3 linked regions of the Diceros bicornis minor genome follow. The protein of the gene in region 2 interacts with the protein of the main gene of each other region in a biochemical or structural test. Links are inferred from orthologs where the notes say so. Each region holds a gene or a part of one and is shown on either strand. Other genes may lie near its edges.

Evidence for each region.
Region 1: the proteins of DLG1 (region 2) and TMEM178A interact in a test that uses a peptide from one of them, tested with the Homo sapiens proteins (2 studies listed by IntAct, with this or other methods). The link is inferred for Diceros bicornis minor from reciprocal best matches to the Homo sapiens genes DLG1 and TMEM178A.
Region 3: the proteins of DLG1 (region 2) and KCNJ4 form a complex in vitro, tested with the Homo sapiens proteins (2 studies listed by BioGRID and IntAct, with this or other methods). The link is inferred for Diceros bicornis minor from reciprocal best matches to the Homo sapiens genes DLG1 and KCNJ4.

What each region holds. Positions count from the first base shown.
Region 1 is NC_080751.1:44,782,711-44,790,676, reverse strand, and holds the start of TMEM178A (transmembrane protein 178A), read left to right. Parts: upstream 1-4,931; 5' UTR 4,932-4,959; coding exon 4,960-5,359; intron 5,360-7,966. UniProt on the Homo sapiens protein: Acts as a negative regulator of osteoclast differentiation in basal and inflammatory conditions by regulating TNFSF11-induced Ca (2+) fluxes, thereby controlling the induction of NFATC1.
Region 2 is NC_080754.1:29,485,159-29,492,323, reverse strand, and holds the start of DLG1 (disks large homolog 1), read left to right. Parts: upstream 1-4,134; 5' UTR 4,135-4,324; intron 4,325-4,783; 5' UTR 4,784-4,814; coding exon 4,815-4,833; intron 4,834-5,522; coding exon 5,523-5,654; intron 5,655-7,165. UniProt on the Homo sapiens protein: Essential multidomain scaffolding protein required for normal development. Recruits channels, receptors and signaling molecules to discrete plasma membrane domains in polarized cells.
Region 3 is NC_080764.1:11,499,599-11,506,767, forward strand, and holds KCNJ4 (inward rectifier potassium channel 4), read left to right. Parts: upstream 1-4,929; 5' UTR 4,930-4,961; coding exon 4,962-6,296; 3' UTR 6,297-6,634; downstream 6,635-7,169. UniProt on the Homo sapiens protein: Inward rectifier potassium channels are characterized by a greater tendency to allow potassium to flow into the cell rather than out of it.

The DNA.
Region 1 (7,966 bases), on a different chromosome or scaffold from region 2:
TATGTGCTTAAAGGCTCCAAAAAGGAAACAGCTTAATCCAGGAATGTGAAAAAGAATGGTGACATTCTGCAGTGTGTCAGTGAAATGAGAAACTTATCAGGCACCATCTATTTTGGGAGTTTTGTGGTATTTTCTGGTTCCAGGCTTCTAGTTAGTGACAAAATGGCACTGCCAAGATGACTTACCACATGCGTGGGGTAGAGAAGAGCACCGTGGTGGGCGCTACTTCTAAAATTTACTTTTGGCTTTGCCCTGGACTAAGTTGACACACATACAGAAAATACCCCTTTTCCTCCAAAGCCTCACTGAGTTAGCATCTATCCTACTTTGCTTACTCATATTCTTCCCAGTGGAAACTGATCTCCCTGTACTAGGTTTTCCTGTTGCGTTTTATTTGCGCCTCTGTGGTAGCACTCATCCCAGGCCATCTCTCTTTGTAGCCTCTTGCATTTCTATCTTCCCCCTCCATTAACCCAGAGCTTTCTGAGAGCACAGGCCATGTTTTTCTTATCTTTGCATAATCCAATGGGACCTAGCACAATAACTTACATTGGAAGTGCTCCATCTATGTTGTTGAATTAAAATAAAAATGTTTTAGGGAAACAATTTAGAATGATGACTTTAACATAAGATACCTCAACTATTTGCAGAAATGACATGTCATAGATCAACAACATAATTGACTACATCTTCACATTAAATGCTGAAAAAAATTTCTGATATTACCAAGAAAAAATCCCCATGCATTATGAAAGCCAGTGTGTGGTTTTGGTTAAATTGCATAGTCTAAATTCTGTGGAATCCAAATGTTTGAAATGAGGAAGGATATTGCTTTTGGTCTCAGCACTGGAAAAAAGGTGAAAGCCTTCTACAATATTCATGAGTAGCGTGCTTAGCTTAGCATAGGTATGTCAATAAATCATTGCCATAGCTCTGTGACAATTGAAGGTCTTGGTGTGTGTGTGTGCATGTGCACATACAGACCTTTTTATAAGGAAATATTTAAGAACTTCCTGACTGTAAAGAAAAATACAATGAATGTCATAAAGCACCTAGGTGTCATGATAAGTGTGTTTGGAGAAGGCAAAAGTATTTTGTTTTCTAAATATTTAAACATGGCCAACATATCAGTTGGGAGGTTTAAATGCTATGGGAAGGACTCTAGAGTAATATAGTGGATAATTCTCTCTAACCTAGAAAGGAGAATTGGAACCTGAAGGATGACATCATTAAGGTAATATTTGAGGAAGATGCATTGGGCAACAGTATCCTGAATAACTGAGGCAGGGTTGCTCCTGGAATCTTGGGAAGGAGGAAGCGGTAATAATAATCCAGATGCAAGGTGACAGAGGCAGAGTGATAGGAAGTGGTAGAAATGTAGAGGAAGGATTGGCTATAAAAGACATTTTAAAGGAAAAATCCCTATGACTTTGTGAATGTGATAGATAATTCTGAAATATTGAGTCTCAGTGACTTGAATGACTTAACACCAGAGAGAGAGAAGTGGGGAGGGGCAGCTGGACCATAGGGAAATATAAAAGTTTACTTTTGGACATCTTGAGTTCAATAATACAGTGAGACACCCAGATGGAAATTCTCTGGCTCAATCTCTGTCATTTTAGGACATTGTTGTTCTCCAACGGATGCACTGAGGATATCAGATCTGGAGACAGCACAGAGAAATTTAACACAAGTGAAGAACGAGCTAAATTTGAAAATGTTGAGGTCACAGCACAGCCACAGCTGAGACATGCCGCGGTGTTCTGGTTGGATATTTGATCTCGCATCATGTTGACTGCCTGCCAGGCTAGATGCCTTCATACATCGACTGTGTTCTGGCTTAGACTTCTGCTTCTACTCATCTGCAAGTATTTAGCTTGTAGTCAGGCATTAGGACATGTCGGCTTTATGATTTAAAAATGTAGAAAAATATTCTTATTTTACAGTGGCCCAACATATTGAAGCCTCCAAATTTGTGGAGTAGATATAGAAATCAAAGAGTTATATTCTGACTGTAATGCCAATATCTCTGATCTAATCCTCTTGGTAAAGTTTAACTCATCCTTTGAGAACTAACTCAAAAGTTACTGACTCTAAGCAGCCTGCCTGACTCCCCCAGGCAGTTTGTCTTTTCATTGTCCATGTTCTCATAAGACTTTGTTCTTATTTCTACTAGAGCACATAGAATAGTCTACGTGTCTGTCTCTTGCCACTAGACTGGGAGCATCTTGAAGATGGGAACCATTTATTCCGTTTTGTATTTCCCACTCCCCTAACAGAGCAGCAGTTAGTGATATTTCGTTGTTGGAAATAGCCAAAAGAGAAGTTTTAAGAATAGGGATGGAGCAATGTGCAGCAGCCATAGCGAAGCCTGTATACACATCATATGTCACATCCCTGCTGATGCCATTAATGCTGCGCCAGCAGAGGCAGTGCTCTCATTACATGCTGCTGGCCCATATTTGTAATGTGTGACATTTTTTATGAAATACTGTCAAGGGTAATACATCATATAGTAACCTTTGGATTATGTGCTGAGACTGGTCTTAAACATAGACACAAATAAACTTCAAGAATAATGCTATTTTCTAAGAAGGGTCTGATCAAAGAGCTCTGGCTGGGAAAATGAGGCAGAACATTACATTCTGTTAAGTTAAACACAAGTGCCTGAAAAAGAAGTTTCCTTCTGTCTCCTCCAGTTGGGGTTGGGGTTATTGTGTGAAGATAATCAGGTGACTCTGAAATGTGGAGGAATATTTATTTCTTGTAGTATGTCAGTGTTTGAAAAGGGAGTGAGGGCTTGCTAAAGGTTTGACCACCCTTGGGACTCGAGAGGTTTGTAATCATTTTATCTCAAGAGGCATTTTTTAAAATAAAAGGACACATGACAACTTGAGTAAATTTCAGATGTCAACTGTGGGCTCACCATTAAAGGTATTCTCTCTGTGTATTCAGAAAGATCTAGGATTTTACACATATTATAGAGTATAAATAAAGGAAAGCTTCTAAGTCTCATCATTTTTGTGTGAATCCACATAAGACTCCTTTGATGAGCTTAGTGTTTCCTGTTAAGGAAAAGCTTACAGGTGAGAGGAACAGTAAAATTACAATTCTTTGTCTTCCTTAATTAGACTGGAGCTCACCATAGATCTTCCTCAAGCTGTGAGAAAATCCAAGCAATAATTCACATTGTCAGGTCAGCAGAAATGCGCACGGTGGTCTGATAGGACTGAAAGATTTGCTTAAGTGATCTATCTGTGAACTGAACAGTGCAGAAGAGATACACAGCCTTCATCGGAAATATACCCTCTGATGATGCTGAGCACAAACAGCAATGAAAATAAATCCCAGCAAGATTCTTATACCACCTTTACAGATGTCATTCTAGAGGAAATATATAAATCACATTAATGCCAATTGATGCGGGGCACTAATTAATAAGTCCCATTAAATCTTGGAGTAATGACATTTAGCATCTAATGAATGCCTCATAATCTCTTGATCATTAATATTTCATGGCATAGGAACACAAGCATTGGCATCCCTGGGCTCATGTAGCATGGTTTTCTGTCTCTGACATGGCCCCAAGGGCATTAAGTGGCACAAGGGTATTACACCTCTGTTGTAAGACTCTACAACATAAGCAATTAACTCATTCAGTACCTTGGGTCCTAACATTTCCTCATTTTAGAAAATGTGAATCTGCCTGCCATTCTCAGAATTAACATCAGTGAGTGCTGAGTGCCCTGGAAGAACAGAAGGAGCTGAGATGTTGACTTTGTCGTGGAGCATTGCTTTGTTGTTGACTCTCCCAGCCCACGCAGGAAACTTGCACAGGAGAGATCATTACTTTGATGTATTACTGGGGTTTTCTTTATTCAAAGGCAATAATCACCATACAGAGCAGGTGCCATTGCAAGGGTTTATTGATCCTCTGCTCTTCTAGAAATTCCAGGAGGTCGTTACTCTGGCGGGAGATGGAAGTGGTCGACAAGTCCATCCCCGAGCAGGCTGAAGTGAAATAGGAGAAAATCTCTGGCCGTCGGTGTATCTGTCCAGTGACACTCGGTGTCTTTTCTTTCAGAAGAGTTGGAGCAGAGAGAACGCTTAGAGAGGTTGCAATGGGCAAGAGAGACGGAAGGAGAGCGACGACAGAGAGAGCTGCCAAGGGGTCTAAGAGGCTGAATGCTTCCGGCGGGGCGAGAAAGGGTCTATAGCTCCAGATCAAGATTCCAAAGAGTTAAATATTACCACGCAGCCCGACCTGGATGGGATTTGCTTCTGGGTACAAAACGGGACACTGATCAAAATCAACTTGGACAAGTGACAAGACTGAGTCTGATGTTGGTGGATGTCTTTTAAGGTCGTTGGAGGGGAGAGGACGGGAGGCGGTGTGCTCAGGGGTAGGTGGAGAGAAGCATCGAATCCAGGGATATAAAGGGATGCGGAGCCGGGAAACAGAGGACAAAATGAGTGGGGGAAGAGAGAGAGGAAGACTTGAAGAAAAGTAAGGCGAAAGTAGGGACAGGGTTAAGGAGAGAGGAGGATAAGAGAGAACTGAGGGCGGCGAGGAGGGATTAACAAGGGAAGGGGGATCGCTGGAGAGAAGGGCGGACGGTTGGATCAGGAGGTGGGGAGGAGGCGAGGGGAGTGAGCGGGTGGGGGCGCAGACAGCGAGGCGAGGGGGCTGGAGCAGAGGAGGGCAAGAAAGTGCGGGCGGCGCGGGGGCGGGCGAGGAGCCTGGGGGCCGGGGAGGGGGCGCTGGGCGTTGGGAAGAGAGCTGGGGAAGGGAGAGAGGGAGCGAGCCGGGCCGGGAGCCGAGAGCCGGGAGGCCGCGGGAGGGAGGTGGGGGGCAGGAGGGGGAGCGCGGGAGGGAGCGCGGCGGAGGGCCGAGGCCAAGTGCATTGTGTCTGGCGGCGGCGCGCGAGCCCACCGGCGGCTGCGGCGGGGCGGGAAGCCATGGAGCCGCGGGCGCTCGTCACGGCGCTCAGCCTCGGCCTCAGCCTCTGCTCCCTGGGGCTGCTCGTCACGGCCATCTTCACCGACCACTGGTACGAGACCGACCCCCGGCGCCACAAGGAGAGCTGCGAGCGCAGCCGCACCGGCGCCGACCCCCCGGACCAGAAGAACCGCCTGATGCCGCTGTCGCACCTGCCGCTGCGGGACTCGCCCCCCCTGGGGCGCCGGCTGCTCCCGGGCGGCCCCGGGCGCACCGACCCCGAGTCCTGGCGCTCGCTGCTGGGGCTCGGCGGGCTGGACGCCGAGTGCGGCCGCCCGCTCTTCGCCACCTACTCGGGCCTCTGGAGGAAGTGCTACTTCCTGGGCATCGACCGGGACATCGACACCCTCATCCTGAAAGGTGAGCGGCGGGCGCGCCCTGCGTCCTGGGCGCCCGCGCGGGGAGCGCAGCCCGCGGCTCCCCAGGGGCGCGCCGGTCCCCGCGGCCACCTCCCCGCCGCGTCCCCGCGCCCTGCTCCCCTGCACATTCTTTCATCCTTCCCCGCCGCCTCCGTTCCTTATCCCTCTCCCTTTCTTTCTCCCGTTCCTCCCTTCTTCTCTCGCTCTTCTTTCTTTCCATGACTCTCTTCTTTCCTTCTCATCCTGCTCTTCCTTTTCCCCCTTCCCTGAAGTCTGTGCTTTAGCCCCCCGCCTCTATCTCTTCCCTTGCCCGTCTTCTTTTACTCTCCTCTCGTCCTTCGCTGTCTTTGTACACCTGCCAGACTTGAAGGCATGTGTGGGTTTTCTTGATACTGCTCCCCTTGAGGGTAACAGTCAGGAAGACCTCACCTTTCCCAGGCGGGCTCCGTCCCTCAAGTTGTGCTTTCCTTTTAGAAATACCTTTGGAAAAAAAAGTGGTGCAAACCTAAGAAGAGGGGAAAGAGGATTTTTTCTTGTGTTGTGCCGATGTTGGTAGCAGATGGAACTGATGTTGTCATCCCACCCTGGCAGCTAATGGGGAGCTAAGGAAGCTGGAGGAACCTTTCTCCAACCCTCCGAAGCGCAGGGTTCGCATGGATTAGACCTCAGATACCATTAAGTCATTGGTGGAGGCAGCCGAAGGCAGATAGGACATCTACTTTTTTTCGCCCTTCCTGATGAGTGGGCACCCCATCCTCAGTGTCCAGGCACACCAGGGTGTGGAGAGGAGAGAACCTGCGCCAGCCCCTTAAAGTAGAGCTTTCTGGATTTGCACGTGGACCTCTACAAAATCACTCTCTTCTGTTTTGTGATACCTTTAAGGTTGTTTTTGTTGTTTTGTTATTTGACACTGAGTTGTAGAGCGTCAGTTTGCTCTTCTGAAATCTATGCAACACCTGGCTCCCATGCATGTAATCAGATAGTTTGAATTTTTTTTGTAATGTAAAATGTAAAAATATTCAATGTGACCATTCTGTTGGTGAAGCTTCCTTCTAACTTTCAGAGCTCGACGCTTAATATAAATTCTTTTTCTCTGAGATGAAAAAAATAAATCTTCTTTCCCTTGGACTCATTATTGCAAGAAAAAGAAAAAGTCTAAAATCAGTACATTTTAATATTTAATGGCCATTCAGGAAGGCAAATGAACAGACTTGTATTGAATTACAGTTGGGAATGGAATTACATAGAAAGGAGGGAGTTAGTAACATTTTGGCCTTTGGAGTCTTGTTAGTTGGCTTATTCTTCATTTCTCAAACATGTCAACTTCCTCCTTCCCGTGGCTAGCTCAGCTGGGGACTGCCATCTGAAATCTGTCTGTGCCTGGAAGGATGCCAGCGCTTTTGGGGGAATCAGATATAGTAACCGTCCTTTGGGAAGTGCACCTTTTTCTTTCCTCTCCTAACTTGCATCCAAATCTGATTTCTCCTCATGAAGATGCTGCATAATTAATTCTGATAGTGGCATAGTACATGAACAAACTGTAAAAGCTGAATTTGGAGGCTCAGTTATGGAATGCTCATTTTGGCAAGGCAATTTTGAAAGCTAAGCAGTGTAGTCTGTCTTTGGAAATGACAGAGCTGCATTTCCTTACTCCCTTTCTATGTCTAGAGTATTTGATTGCATGTAAATTGGATATAGAGTAGCACCTGAAACACCAGGGCAGAGTCCAACTCAACAGCAGGAGGAGAGGGACCCCACAGGACACTGCATATTCCCCACCTCTGCAAATGCCCAGGCTAGTTGAGGTGCCTAGCTCCGGGGCAGTCCAGGATTGAATAGTTCTAGAGGTGGGAGGGACTTTAGAGGTTATTGAATCCAGCCTCCCACCCATTGTTCCAACTCCCTTCTTCTACAATCTTGCTGACAAATGTCTGTCCAGCCCAGTACTTCCATAACACAGAACTTGTATACTAGTTAAAAGAATTATATTTTTCTAGTCATAAATGCTTGTTTCTTAGATTAGTAATATTGATGGTGTTTAGCTATTCCTTTGTGCAGAATGCTAAAGAGTTCTAGGTTGTAATCAGAAGACATGGGCACCATTGCTGGCTCTACCGCTAAATTGCAGTGTATCCTCTGACAAGTGTCCAGGGCTCCTTGGCCTTCAGTTTTCTTGTCTATGGGATTGGGAAGGCTGACTATTCTTGAGGGAATTTTCTATTTCTGAAATCTGTCATTGTTGTAATAATAACAATGTAAATTTAGCTTCTGGGAAAGTTAATGAGCTGACATTACTAAGACATGAGGAGCTTGGAGAAAATGACAGACATCCATACATTATAAGATCATAATTTGTTGTTTGGGAGATGGCCCAAAATGCCTCCATTACTTTCAACATTGCTACTAACTTACCTTGGACTAGTTACATAACTCTTCTGGATCTCTGTTTCATCATCTGTAAAATGAATGGGTGAAATGAACAGCTTTAGGGGCCGGCCCGGTGGCGCAAGCGGAGTTTGCAGGTTCGGATCCTAGGTGCGCACTGACGCACCACTTGGCAAGCCATACTGTGGCGGTGTCCCATATAAAGTGGAGGAAGATGGCCATG
Region 2 (7,165 bases):
TGGTCACTTCCATCATTCTCAACATTGTTCCTCTTCTTGCAGCCTAAGCCGGCATAAGCGTTTTTGATGGCATCACATCCTTTCCTTTTAGTGATTGCCTTGGCACAGGCAGCACACTGCTGCTCTGCCAGAGTAAGAACAAAAGATGCAGTAGAGTCTGGCAGGACCTGGGTACCTTTACAGAGGATAGGCTGGGGACTTGGACCAGGGAGAGTACAAATTCAGAAATGTGGAACTATAAGGGTGGCTTGGGTAGAAGGATGGTTGGGAAGGGAAGATTTAGAACTGAGAGAGAATATTCTTTGTGATCAAATCTCTGACATCTCAATAGAAGAATGGGAGATTTGAGCCTTTTCCTGTGGTCCTCTGACTCCTAAGCCTTTTAAGCTATTTGAAAGAAAAGTGAACTTGGGGCTGGAAAGTGTATATATAAATTTTTTTTAATGAGGCAGTTGAAAAAGTAATCAGATCCTATATTGGATCCTATTCAATGGCAGCTGCTACCTGCATAAAGTAAGAAAGACTTCAAGGAAACAGAAGTTGTTTGGAAAAATCCAGTGTCATTGCTTTGTATGTTGTAGTGATGTGGTAGCCAGCCTCCAAGATGGCCCCTAATGATTCTTACCTCCTGGTATTCATACTCTTGAGGCTGACCTAAGTAACCAATAATATTGTGAAAACGATAGAGTGTTACTTCTGAGATTAGTTCATGAAAGATGTTGTGGCTGCTGCCTCACCCTCCCGAATCACTTGCTTTGGAGGAAGTCAGCCACCACGTCATGAAGACACTGAAGCAGTCCTACAGAAAGATCTTCATGGTGAGAAACTGAGGCCTCCTGCTAAAGGCAGCATCAACTTACTAGCCATGTGAGTAAGGCATGTTGGAAGAGCCTCCCTTAATCTCAGGTAAGAATTCAGATGACTGCAGCCCTGGTAGACATCTTGACTGCAATCTCTTGAGACCCCAAGCCAGAACCATACAGTCAAGGTCCTCCTGAATTCCTGACCTGCAGAAACTGTGAGATAATGTTTATTGTTGTTGAAGTTACTAAGCTACTAAGTTTTAAGCTACTAAGCTTTGAGGAATTTGTTATGCAGCTATAGATAACTAATACAAATGGATAGATAGGAGGAATGAGGAGTAAAGGCCTCTGTAGGGGCACCAGCCAGCGTGCCCCTTTAAAACCATGAGTCCTTGAGGCTCCTTGGCTGGGCTACGTGGCAGCACTCACGATGATAACAGTCCTGGGCTTGGCCAACCCAGCTGTTTTCTTGTGGGATAATTAGCACAGAGACCCTTGCGGTCTGAGGGAACACAAAGGCCCTCCAGAGGGGAGTTCTGGTCCTTGGAAGGCAGGTCATACAGGGATGATCCCCCTTGGCAAGCATGCAGCCTTTGTTCCTCTGCCTACTTAAGCAAGCTTCTCTCAGTGGGCAGTTGCCGGTGCACATCTCCTGTCCAGCCAGCCGCCACTGGACGTTCCCTGTAAGTAACTCCCTAATAAACCCATATGTCTTGCCCGCTGTCTCTGGGTCATTTCTTTGGTCTCTTGGCAAGATACCCTGCCACCTTAGCCCAGCTGGGTGTGCGGTCCTACAGCCCCTCATACTAGGCCTGCACTTGTCATGGCCCCTAAGGGTGGAGAAAGTGCTAGCTTCTTTTCTGCTTTTTGACACTGCTGACAACTGCATAGGGATAGAGGATGACAAGAAGGAAGGGCATCATGCCCTCTTGTCTCCTCTTTCTCCTCCCTCTTCTCTTTGTTTTTAGGGGAGGACTAGGATGACACTGAGAATTCACACAAATTTTTTTTTGACTTTTCAGTAGCTCTTGGGAAAGGCTGCGCTAGCCTTTATCCATTTGGTAGTAGGCTGTGGGTCCTTGAGAGCTGGGCTTGGATATTATTCATTTCTATCCCCATTGCCTAGCAAGTGAACGTATATGAACAACGAATGATACTAAGAGGGAGGGCGAAATCCCTCTCTCCTTCTCCTCAATTCTGAAGAGACTCCATTCTTAGAATGGTTCCTTAAGTGGAACCATTCCATTCACAGTTCATCAACGAAGTCTTGATAATAATAGCATGCGTGCCATCAGCCATTTTCACTATTAAAAACTCCCTTACTTCACTATTTTAAAAATCCCTCTATTTAAGCTCCTTGCTTTTAGGAGACTTCTCTCACTTTTACATCCCATTTCTTCTATGAAATGTTGCTTTAACTGTTGCTCAAGCTCCAAAGATGCTTAATCCACGACAGTATAGAGATCTGCTGCCAATACACCAACACACCATTGTATGGAAAGAGCCCTGGCCTGGAGCTAGGAGACCTAATTCTGGGTTGCTGTCACTGATTAGCCTATATGTCCTTGGGCAAGTTGCTTCTCCTCTCTGGACCTCGGTTTCTTTATCTTAAATGGAGAGAGTGGGTCTAGATGAGCCCTAAAGTCGTCGGGTTCTCACAAGAAGTTAAGATTCCAAGGTGCAATCCAGAAGTGAAACCCAGTGGTCAGAGGCATACGTCTGAGTAACTGTTATGGTTACAGTACAAGGTTCTCCGGACTTCCCTTTACTAGCCCAAGGATACGGCCTCCGTGAAAGGCTGTCAAGTTTACTGGGAAGAGTCTTCCGGTTTTGAAAGACACGATCTCCGTGTTTCCAGTTTTGTCACTAACTCTGGATGACCTTGGGCAAATTTTTCTCTCTCAACCGCAGAGCAGAGAGATCTTTGTTATCCAGAAGAGGCTCAAAGACCTGGGCAGTGACTTGAAGAGCTTTCCGTGATTCTCCTACAATCCGAGTGGCTCAGCCCCGGAGCAGGGTCCTGGCCGGCCAGTAGTCCCGCTCCAAGGTGCAATCAAAACTCAGACCAGCTCTTTGAGCGAGGGGCGGCTCGGCTTCGGAGGCGGCGGCTACAGGTGAGTTCTTAAGGGGCCGCCAGAGCTTGGGTAATACGTGGAGACTGGTGACTGGGCAGCGGACGTAGGCAAGGGGGAGTGAATGAATGAGTGAATGAAAGAAGGAACGAATTTTCTCTTCATACCCTTAAATGCATTCATTCATACTTGTGATGAATTCATCACTTAGACTTAAAAATCCCTTAGTAAAATCCTCAAACTCTTATCAAATTAACCAATCTCCCTATTTTACGTGCCCTTCTTTAATTCACCCCCCCCAAAAAAAAAACTTTTACTGAGGGGCGAATAGTAACTTGAAAAAAATCAGTGCAGAGTGGAAGACTGTGTGCAGAGATGGCACCCCCCACCCCCCGCCCAAACTCCTCCCTTTCCCCGTCCCAGGCTCTGCCCTCCCCGCCCCCTAACGTGGGGGGCGCAGTCCTCCCCAAAACCACTTTTCTAGGTTGGAGATCTACCCCCGGGAGCGCCAGGTACTCTCTCCTGCCTTTGAGTTGGAAACAGCATGTGTCTAGTGAGGTTAAAGGGAGTCCTGAAATGTGTCTTGGATCTGGTGTAAGTGAGGTCACGTCTCTCTTCAGACACCCCGACCCTTCTGGGTCTGGGGCGCTACTCGCTCAGAACCGCGGGGCACACCGGTGGACTACGGTTAGGTAAAGGCAGGCTCTTCCAGGCCACCCCGGGCCACCTGTAGAGTCTGTGTGTCAACTCCTTTGTCCTCAGAGCCACTTCGGTGGCCGTCCTTTTAAGCGAGGAGGTTCACTTGGGATGCTCCCCAGGTCCCCTTCCCCGTTCCCCAGCCCCCTCCCGGCCCTCCTCCCCCTTCCAATCCAAAGGTAGCAGCGCTGAGAGCCCGAGGCTCGGCGCGAGCCGCCTCCTCACTTCCCATTGGCTGGGAGCGCCGGGAAGGCGGTCACGTGGGGGCGCGGCAGTCCAGCTCGGGGGCCGCCATCTTGGCGGAAAGTTTGGGGGGAGAGCGGTTGGGGGCGCGGAAGGAGGCGAGGTTCCGGGGGTGGGGCGGCTAGAGGGAGAGAGGGCAAGCGGGCTAGCGGGCCGTGGTGAGCGAGGAGGCGGTGGCGGCGGCAGCGGCGGCGGCGGAGGAAGAGGCAGCGGGGGTGCGGCCGCCGAGGGGAGCTCCTCCCCCGTTCCCTCACCCCCCTGAGCTTAGCTCCTCGAGCCCCGGGCGGGGCGGGGGGACGTGGAGCGGGGGCAGGGCGGGGGAGCCGCCCGAGTCCGGCCGGAGCGCACCCCAGCTCTGAGCGCACGCCGCTCGCAGGAACTTTGTGGCGGCGCCGCAGGTGTGGGGGCCCGCGGAGGTGTGCATGTGGGGCGCGAGGGCGTCGCGGAGAGCGGCCGCTGCCCTGTCCGGCCCCCGCTGGAGTAACCCGGAGGAAGCGAGCCAGGAGAAAGGCAAGCGAGGGGAGAGGGCCCGAGCAGGGCGGGGTGATCAACCCAGCTGGTCCCTTCCCGGAGCGCTCTACAACCGCTGCTGGCTTAGGGGCAAGGGTCGGAGCGCCTTTTCACCCCCCCAGTAGCAGGTGGGAAGTAGGCATACTTATACCGGGGGAGGGGTGGCCCCAGGTCTAGGCATTTAGTGCCCTTTAGAGAGGGGGCAGCTTTCGAGGAGGATTTGGAAGCCGACTTCTCTCTGCTTTTAATTTGCAGGGCTACCCACCCCTGGGTAACAGCTTTCTAGATTGATTGACACTGCTAGGTTTTGAGGCTCCTCCTCTCACTTGGGAAAACTTTGCCAGGTGGGCTTTTCCAATAGGGCTGAGAGTTTTTCGGTTTGAGATTTAGGGGGAAATGCTAGTTTAACCACAATTCTTTTCTTTAGTTCTGTTTGCTTTCTGTTTTATGTTTTTAAAGGTGTGTGCCCTCTTCCTGATTCTGGAGAAAAATGCCGGTCCGGAAGCAAGGTGAGAATTTATTTTGGAACTTTCTTGTGAGTGTCACTTGCTTTTCTGTGTGTCTGTTTTGTGATTGCTGTGTTTTAAAAATGTGTAACTCTGATGAGACAGCACAGTCCTAACGTTAGTAATCTAAGCCTCACATCATTCAGAAGATGGAAACACTTAATGTTTGTCAAACTTTCTTCCTTGACATCTCTGTAGTGATTGGAGAGGCAATTAATGTTTTCCCTCTGAAGTGTCTTTTTGAAAACTCTTAATTGGTTTTTTAATATTTCACTTTATCATTTTTACTAAACACTATTTTGTGAGCAAATGTGGGATATTGGCTAAGAGCTAGTATTTTGAAACACTTGAGATTTGGATTATAATGACATTGTGGATAATCTGCTTTTGCATATCAGATCAGCTGAAACTATGTTGCTAATACTTTGATCAAATGATCTTTTATTGTGGTAGACTAGCCATACACATTTATTACAAACTACTCACCTTCCTCTTCTTTCTACTGTGACATATGTTTAAAATTTTTTGGATAATTCTAGGGAATATACCTGTACATGAACATAGTAATATCGATTGACCTGGAGGATTTTGAGAACTGTTGAGACGTCTTGCAGAATCATTTGCTTCATAGCTAGTGTGTAATACTTTCTTGTAAATATATAATTTTTATCAGACTCCTTTTTTCTTCTCAGATACCCAGAGAGCATTGCACCTTTTGGAAGAATATCGTTCGAAACTAAGCCAAACTGAAGACAGACAGCTCAGAAGTTCCATAGAACGGGTTATTAACATATTTCAGAGCAACCTCTTTCAGGCTTTAATAGGTGAGACTTATTACTTTATTTGTGACCATTATGTGTCAGCTGGGCTTAATGCTGCTCTGAATTCATTTATTTTACTCATAAGAGAGTGATGTACTTGGTTCTCTGTGAGTCATTCAGTAACTTGAATATGCAGTGAGTTGTATATTTTGATAGTTAGGCCAATATCCTTTCCAAAAAGATCTAATAACCAAAAAAACTTTCAGTATGATTATTTCAGTGGTCTTTGCTAACAGTGTTTCATATCCTAACATTAACTATTAAAAGATGGAGAAGTTGCAAAAATGTTTCAGGACTCAAAAGGTAACTACTGTGAATACTTGCTTCTGTATTTGACTTGTATTTCTGTGGAGTACCTGAGAATGCTTGAAGAGTTTTGCTGTGTTTAAAAACATTCATTCCTGTAGTATAGATGTCTGTTTGAACTTGGTATTCATGGAGTCAGAATTTTAGACCTGAAAAATGATCTTAGAGATAATCTTGTCTAATCTTATTTTACAGACAATAAAATTGAAACAGAATTTTATTAATTGTAATTTAAATATGAGGTGGTGCATTGTTTTGAAGGAGAACTGGACAAATAGTCAAGAGTCTTGAATTCTATTCTTGACATTGCCGTTAATTGAATGATATTACACAAGTCATTTAACCTTTTTTTTTTTTTTTTTGTGAAGAAGATCGGCCCTGAGCTGACATTGGCCAATCCTCCTCTTTTTCCTGAGGAAGACTGGCCCTGGGCTAACATCCATGCCAATCTTCCTCTACTTTATATGGGACACTGCCACAGCATGGCTAGCCAAGCGGTGCGTCCGTACGCACCCGGGATCTGAACCAGCGAACCCCGGGCCACCGCAGTGGAGTGCGCACACTTAACCGCTTGCACCACCAGGCTGGCCCTGTCATTTAACCTTTTTAAGGTCACAATATTAGCTGTAGAATGTGGGTGCAGTGGAACAGTGGTTTTTAAGCTTTTTTTTTTGAGTGGCTAGATCCTTTCTTAAAACAAAATCTTATATTTTGTACCCAATCCTCGGTATATAAAACAAGGTGATCTGTCTCTGGCCCTCTCCTCTAGTACCTTGAAAAGTATGCAAACCACTGAAATAGAAAATTTGTCCCTTCCAATTCTAAGAATATAATGTTTTTTTATTAGTCATTGACTATATAACATATTAACACAAGACATACACTTCATTGCATTACATTTATTTTCTCAGTAACTTCCAAGTATATCGATATGACCTCACATCTGTCTGTTGTTAGAGTAACTTTTGATGTGATTTGAGGACTACCTTCAAGTTTGTGTACCCTGTCAACTTATAGGTAAATTGATATTCTCTGCTGAATTTGTTTTAGAATTAAAGATTTTAAAGAAGACCACTGAATACACCTGAATATTTTTTACAAATTTAACATTTTAATAGACTTTTAAAACCATACATAAAAATGGAGAGAACAATATAATGAACTGCTGTACACCTATGACCCATCTTCAAAAATTATCAACATTTGCC
Region 3 (7,169 bases), on a different chromosome or scaffold from region 2:
GGGAAGAGAAATAATAACCCTGCTTGTTGCTGTGGTAGGTGCTTAATAAATACTTGTTAAATGAACAAAGGGTTGCAGTGATGCTTCAATGAGACAGAGCAGCAGTGCTTGGCATAGGGCTGGTACTCCAGAGTGTTCATTTCCTGAGAATGGCCACAGAGAAGGATGTTGGGTTCAGCTGCGCCCCACGGCTGAGCTGTGTGACCTCTGGCAAGTCACTTCACCTCCCCTGTTGTCCCATCCGATAACAATGGGATGCATAAGGGCCCTGCAGGCTGGCATTGGCTGAGTGCTCCCTGAGCGAGGCCTTCTGCCCCTCCTTCCCGCTGTCCAGGGGGCTGAGTGCAGGGCCCCGGCTCTCAGGAACGGCTGCTGCTGCTGCTGTCTGGGGCTGGAGGGCCCAGGTGAGGCGCACCTGCGGCCGCCACTGTGTCTCCCATGAGTGGCGAGGGTGTGTGCTGGGAAACTTGCCCTCAGAGCCTGCCAGGGTTGCTGGAATCCACTGAGGCTGCTGCCATTTTATCAGCTCTTCTTTCGCAAAAGGAGTTGTGGGCAAGGAGGCACCGTTTAGTGTCATAAAATCAGAGGGAAAACCTAAGAGGTGACAGGAGCAAGGTGGTCTTCCTACCTCCTCTGGACCCCTGGCAGGCAGGGTCCAGCCTTCCTTAACTCCTCAGGAAGGGGCAGGATAGCGACGGTGCCAGCGAGTTGTCAACCCTGCGAGTCACCTTCACAATCTCCCTGAGGCCCGAGCGTCCTTTGCCAGCTGCTGACTCACCGAGCCACAGCCCTGCTCTCAGCCTCAGTTTCCCTAGCTGTCCAGTGAAGTTTGGACAAGGGGCTGCAGATTTTGGATGTACACAGCATCCAGTAAAATTAAAAGAAAAGTTTGGTAACTGGCCCAGCATTGTGAATTCTTCACTTTGCCAAGAAAGGACACTCAAATTTTAAAAAGCAGCCAGCATCTCCCATCTTGTCATTCCCCAAAAGAAAGAACATTTTCCATGAAGAGAGTCCCCAGATGCCCTCATAGAACAAAGGACAGAGGCTGGCTCGGTGGCTTAGCGGTTAAGTGCACGCGCTCCGCTACTGGCAGCCCAGGTTCGGATCCCAGGCGCGCACTGACGCACCGCTTCTCCGGCCATGCTGAGGCCACGTCCCGCATACAGCAACTAGAAGGATGTGCAACTATGACACACAACTATCTACTGGGGCTTTGGGGGAAAAAAAAAAGGAGGAGCATTGGCAATAGATGTTAGCTCAGAGCCAGTCTTCCTCAGCAAAAAAGAGGAGGATTAGCATGGATGTTAGCTCAGGGCTGATCTTCCTCATAAAAAAAAAAAAAAAGAACAAAGGACAGAGACTGGAGGAAGAACCCCGGACGGGAAGGGGAAGGACTTGGCCGAGGTCACCCAGCAAGGCAGAGCGAGGGGCCCGGCCTCCCAGAGCCTCCCCCGTAGGGAATGTGCTGAAACCACGTTCTTCCCTGTGTGTTCACAGGGCGCATTCGGTGCAAGAGGGTTAGACCAGCCCCCTGCCTTCCATAAAAGGGTGGTTTAACTGTAGACATGGCGCAGGCGCCTAAACAACCAGGGTTCACTCTCTCTCTCTTAATAAAACAACCACATCCAGAGGAGGATGGTACCCAGTTGTCAGTGCCTCTCGCCCCTCTTCCATCTCCGTGCCCCTTCTCTTTTGCGCTTTTCCCTCGGGCCCTTGTGCCTTGGGCAGGAAGCCCCAAGTGACAAATAAGGGAAGACACCCTGACCAGTCTCCCAGTGGTTGTCACAGGAAAGCACAACGCCATGCTTCCTACGTTTCACTTTTTGGTCTGGGATCGTGCAGGTGGCAGGCGAGCCTCTCACTTCCGCCAAAGGAGCCCGTGGTGACGGGAGTGCTCCCTGATGTGAGCAGGTCACTGCGGACGAGGGCCGGGCGCTCACCAGCCCAGTGCACATGGGCTCCTCGTGGTGGAGGATGGCAGTCTAGGGGCGCACCTGTGCCTGGGGGCTGCTTTCCCAACGGCCCAGGGGTGGACATTTCAAGTGTCACCTGAGCTGACACAGGCGAAGCTGGATAAGACACAGGATAAGCTGTGCCGCCACCGGGCTACGATGCGGGGGCTGCTGGGGGTCGGGGGACCCGGGGATGGCAGGGCAGGGGCAGGGGGTGAGAACTGAAGTTGGGGGTGTGGGGGCGGAGGGGGTGTGGGGGCGGAGGGAGTGTCGGGGTGGGGACATGCGGAGCCTCCGGGCCGACCCTGGGGCATGAGCGTGGCTGAGATTCCAGTCACTTCCACTCATGAATGGGAAACACTGGGCCATGCTGGCGAGGGGAGGACCAAGAGCTTAGAGCCGTGGGGGGTGGTCTCCCTCCCTCCTCGCACCCAGGGCCCTGCTAGAGGGTGGAGCCCCATGAAGAGCCCTCTCCTGCAGCACAAGATGAAGCCCCCAGACCAGAGCCCTTCCCTGTGGCAGAGGACCAGGGGCCCCGCACCCTGGGCTCCTGTGTGGCCTTGGGCGGGGCCCTCACCCTCCCTGGGCCTCAGTGTCCTCACCCATCAAAGCCCCAGGTCACCACACCTTGTCCCCCCTGCCTGTCTCCCGGACACCTGTGGCAGGTGGGCCCAGGGCCTCCCGGGGCCGGGCTGGGGCCCTCTCTTCCCTAGCCCCAAACTCCACCCCAGCCCCCTCCAGGGAGGCAGCTCCTCTGCCCAGGAGCACCTTGACCTTCTTCCAGGAGTGGGAGTGAGGAGACGGGCTCAGGGCTGGCCCACCCTGTCTCGCTCTGGGACCCTTAGCAAGTCCGTCCCAGCTCTGGGCTTCCTCGGCCTCAGATGTAAAATGAGGGTCTTGAAATCAGTGATCTTCCGTTCCTCCTGGCTCTAGTTCCTTCTGTGGTGCTAATGGAGGCATTCAAGACAGCAGGACAGAGTCGAGTCGGAGATGTGTGGCGAAGGAAGACCCCCTGAAAACTATTTATAGTCTAGAAGGTGCACCTGGCCCCCAGTCCCCTAGGGCTGCCACCTGGAGCCCTGGCTATCAGGACTCTGGGTAGGGGGCAGACAGGGTCTGGGACTCCCAGCTAAAGTTGTAACCTCTTGGGGGCCAGTATGCACATCCACATTACCTGTTCAGACTGATGGGTCTCACTGGTCCCATTTTCCAGATGAGGAAACTGAGGTTCAGAGCAGTCAAGTAACTTGCCCAAGTTATGTGGTGGATCTGGGACTTCAATTCAGGACTGTGGGACCCAGGGAGCTCCTTTTGAGGGGGGAAGGGAGAAGAACCCAGAGTCGGGGTGGGGTGACTGTGGGGGAGGAGGGCAGGGCTCACTCTCCCTGGGCGCAGAGAGGGAGTTTCTCCCTGGCAGAGGCAGGCTCTGAAGCTGTTGATCTCTAAATTACAGCGTTGGCGCGCACTGGTTGCCGGGGCAACCGAGTTGTCCTGAACCGGGGAAGTGTATAAACATTGCCACAGATGCACAATTAGATCAGGAAGAAGAATAGGACAGAAAATAGAAACTTCCAGCCTTATATAATTCTGGGCCAAAATGTTACCGGGAACCCAGGCCCGGGCCTGGCCCTGCCAGCTGCTGGGGCCCTGGGCAGCACCATCTCTCTCCTGGGGCCCCAGTGGGAAAGAGGGTGGAGGGAGGGTCTGCCTTCCAAGGGCCCAGCTGCTGCGCCTGCCACCCGGCGGGGTGAGGGGCTGCCTCCACTGGAACAGCTGGGGACGCTGACAGGCGAATCCTGCCTCTCACCAGCTTCTCCCCCCACCCCCCCACACCCGGGAAGCGGCAAGGAAGGCAGGAGGGCGACTGGCTTAAACTGAGCACCCGCTCTCTCCCTGGGTCTTGTGGTGGAGTTTTGATTCTTACTTTACAGATGAGGAAACTGAGGCTCAGAGAGGTGAAGTGAGTCGTCCGAGGTGACACAGCTAGGCAGCAGATGTGTCTGCCTCCCCCTCTTCGGGTCTGCACACCGTGAGCTCATCGATGTTGCCACCACCCAGGGCCTGAAGAGCTAGACACACCTGGGTTTGGACCCACTTACCAGCTGTGTGGGCTTGGGTAGGTCACTTCCTCTCTCTGAGCCCCTGTTCCCTCACCTGTGACATGGGAACACCGATACCTACACAGGAGCCAAAGCTCGGGGCTCCCTCTTCCTCCACTGGGACCACCACCAGTGGAGTCTCCACCCACCACTCCTCCCAACAAGTTTGGGGACAGGACAGGAACCAAGAAGGGGCTGTGGGCCCCAGCACTGTCCAGTCGAACTTTCTGCCCTGAGGGAAATGTCTGCTCTGTCTAGTATGGTAGCCATTAGCCACATGTGGCCACTGAGCACGTGAAATGTGGCTAGTGCAACTGGGAACCGAAGTCAGAATTTTATTTAATTCTAAGTACATGTAAGAGCCACAGGTGGCCAGTGGCTGCTGTACTGGACAGCACAGGAGAATGTCCAGCCCCCGAGGGACCCAAGAGGGCAGAGGCTGAACCCAAGGAGGTGAGGGGGCCAGAGCTCCCTCTGCTCCAGGCAAAGGGGACAAATGGTGGGAGGGCAGAGCCCAGATGGGCATCAGGAAGCTCCGGGAACAGGGGCGAAGGAGGGTTGAGGGGGCGGAGTGAGGGGCTGGGACTGGGACCTGGATCCTGGTGGCCTCAGCTTCTGGAGCCGGGCCAGCCTCGGAGGCACTGGCTCAGGCCCGACACTCCCTCCCTGTCGTCAGAACCACCTAACTGTCCCCTTCTGCCCACCGGGCGGTGCAAGTCTTGGGTTCTAGTCCCGACTCTCCCCTTCCTGGGCGTCTCTGGACAGGCGCCTTGCCGCCCCCGAGCCTGGGCGCCCCGGGGCCCTCGGAGAGGCCGCCGCTGCAGCCGCTCGCCGCCAGCATCTCACCCGTCTGGTTTCTCCTCCCCAGGCCCCGCGTCTTCCCAGGTGAGCACGCCGGCTTCAGGACATGCACGCGCACAGCCGCAACGGGCAGGCGCACGTGCCTCGGCGGAAGCGCCGCAACCGCTTCGTCAAGAAGAACGGCCAATGCAACGTGTACTTCGCCAACCTGAGCAACAAGTCGCAGCGCTACATGGCGGACATCTTCACCACCTGCGTGGACACGCGCTGGCGCTACATGCTCATGATCTTCTCCGCGGCCTTCCTCGTCTCCTGGCTCTTTTTCGGCCTGCTCTTCTGGTGCATCGCCTTCTTCCACGGTGACCTGGAGGCCGGCCCAGCGGTGGCTGCGGCGGGGGCGCCTGCGGGCAGCGGCGGGGCGGCTCCGGTGGCCCCCAAACCCTGCATCATGCACGTGAACGGCTTCCTGGGCGCCTTCCTGTTCTCGGTGGAGACGCAGACGACCATCGGCTACGGGTTCCGGTGCGTGACGGAGGAGTGCCCGCTGGCGGTCATCGCCGTGGTGGTCCAGTCCATCGTGGGCTGCGTCATCGACTCCTTCATGATCGGCACCATCATGGCCAAGATGGCTCGCCCCAAGAAGCGGGCGCAGACGCTGCTGTTCAGCCACCACGCGGTCATCTCGGTGCGCGACGGCAAGCTCTGCCTGATGTGGCGCGTGGGCAACCTGCGCAAGAGCCACATCGTGGAGGCCCACGTGCGGGCCCAGCTCATCAAGCCCTACATGACCCAGGAGGGCGAGTATCTGCCGCTGGACCAGCGGGACCTCAACGTGGGCTACGACATCGGCCTGGACCGAATCTTCCTGGTGTCGCCCATCATCATCGTCCATGAGATTGATGAGGACAGCCCGCTCTACGGCATGGGCAAGGAGGAGCTGGAGTCGGAGGACTTTGAGATCGTGGTCATCCTCGAGGGCATGGTGGAGGCCACCGCCATGACCACCCAGGCCCGCAGCTCCTACCTGGCCAGCGAGATCCTGTGGGGCCACCGCTTCGAGCCCGTGGTCTTCGAGGAGAAGAGCCACTACAAGGTGGACTACTCGCGCTTCCATAAGACCTACGAGGTGGCCGGCACGCCCTGCTGCTCCGCCCGGGAGCTGCAGGAGAGCAAGATCACCGTCCTGCCCGCCCCGCCGCCCCCGCCCAGTGCCTTCTGCTACGAGAACGAGCTGGCTCTCATGAGCCAAGAGGAAGAGGAGATGGAGGAGGAGGCAGCGGCCGCTGCCGCGGTGGCCGCGGGCCTGGGCCTGGAGGCGGGCTCCAAGGAGGAGGCGGGCATCATCCGGATGCTGGAGTTTGGCAGCCACCTGGATCTGGAGCGCATGCAGGCCACCCTCCCGCTGGACAACATCTCCTACCGCAGGGAGTCCGCCATCTGACCTCCAGGCCCTGCCCTCGCTGCTTCCCACAAGAGCCTCTGCTGGGGGTGGGACACCAGGACACCCCCTCCGCACTCAGGACAGAGCTGACCCTGGTTCCATGGACCTTCTGGAGGGACGTGGGGGCCTCAAAGACTGGGACTTCAAAGTCCCTTCCTCCTGACTCCGGAGCCTAGGCCTGGGAAGGGCCCGGATACTCTCCGCCCTGTCAGCCCGGGTCCCCCAGCACCTACCCACTGGCAGCTTAGGGACCCCAGACCCACCACCCTTTCCCCACTGACCCTTCAAGGACGTGCCCCTTTTGCTCTCAGAACCTTGGGGAAGGCGGCTGGACTGCTGGGGGGGTGGGCATCATGGTGTTCTGGGGTGGGCAGGGGGTTAGTTTGGGGGAGGGAGGGAGGGGGGTGCGCTTCTTTTGCATGACTGTGGCCTGTTGCTCATGACTTTCTTTTGTAAATATCTATAAATGGAGAGAGATGGAGGCACCAAATCCACCTTCTGCCATTGGTACCTGCAGGACGAGGCGGTGTGGTCCCTCTCTGTGCCCCCTCCCCCTCCCGGCCAGGCAAGCCTAGCCCTTCCCCCTGCCCCACTGGCTGCTCCCTGAGGCCCTCAAAGCCAGCCGTCTTGGCCCCTGGATGGTGTTGGGCTTGAGTGCAGAGGTGGGACCCCGAGGGGCAGGATGAGGGCCAGTCCCTCCCTGCGGTCCCTCCGGGCCCCCGGGCCCAGCCCAGATTGACAATGGAGTTTGTAACTATATATTTTTAATAAAGTATATGGTCCATTAGGAGTAGGCTGGTTGAAGATGGAGGGCTGGGAAGAAGAGCTAGAGAGAGTGAGAGACACCAACAGGATGTGAGTGGTGTGTGTGTG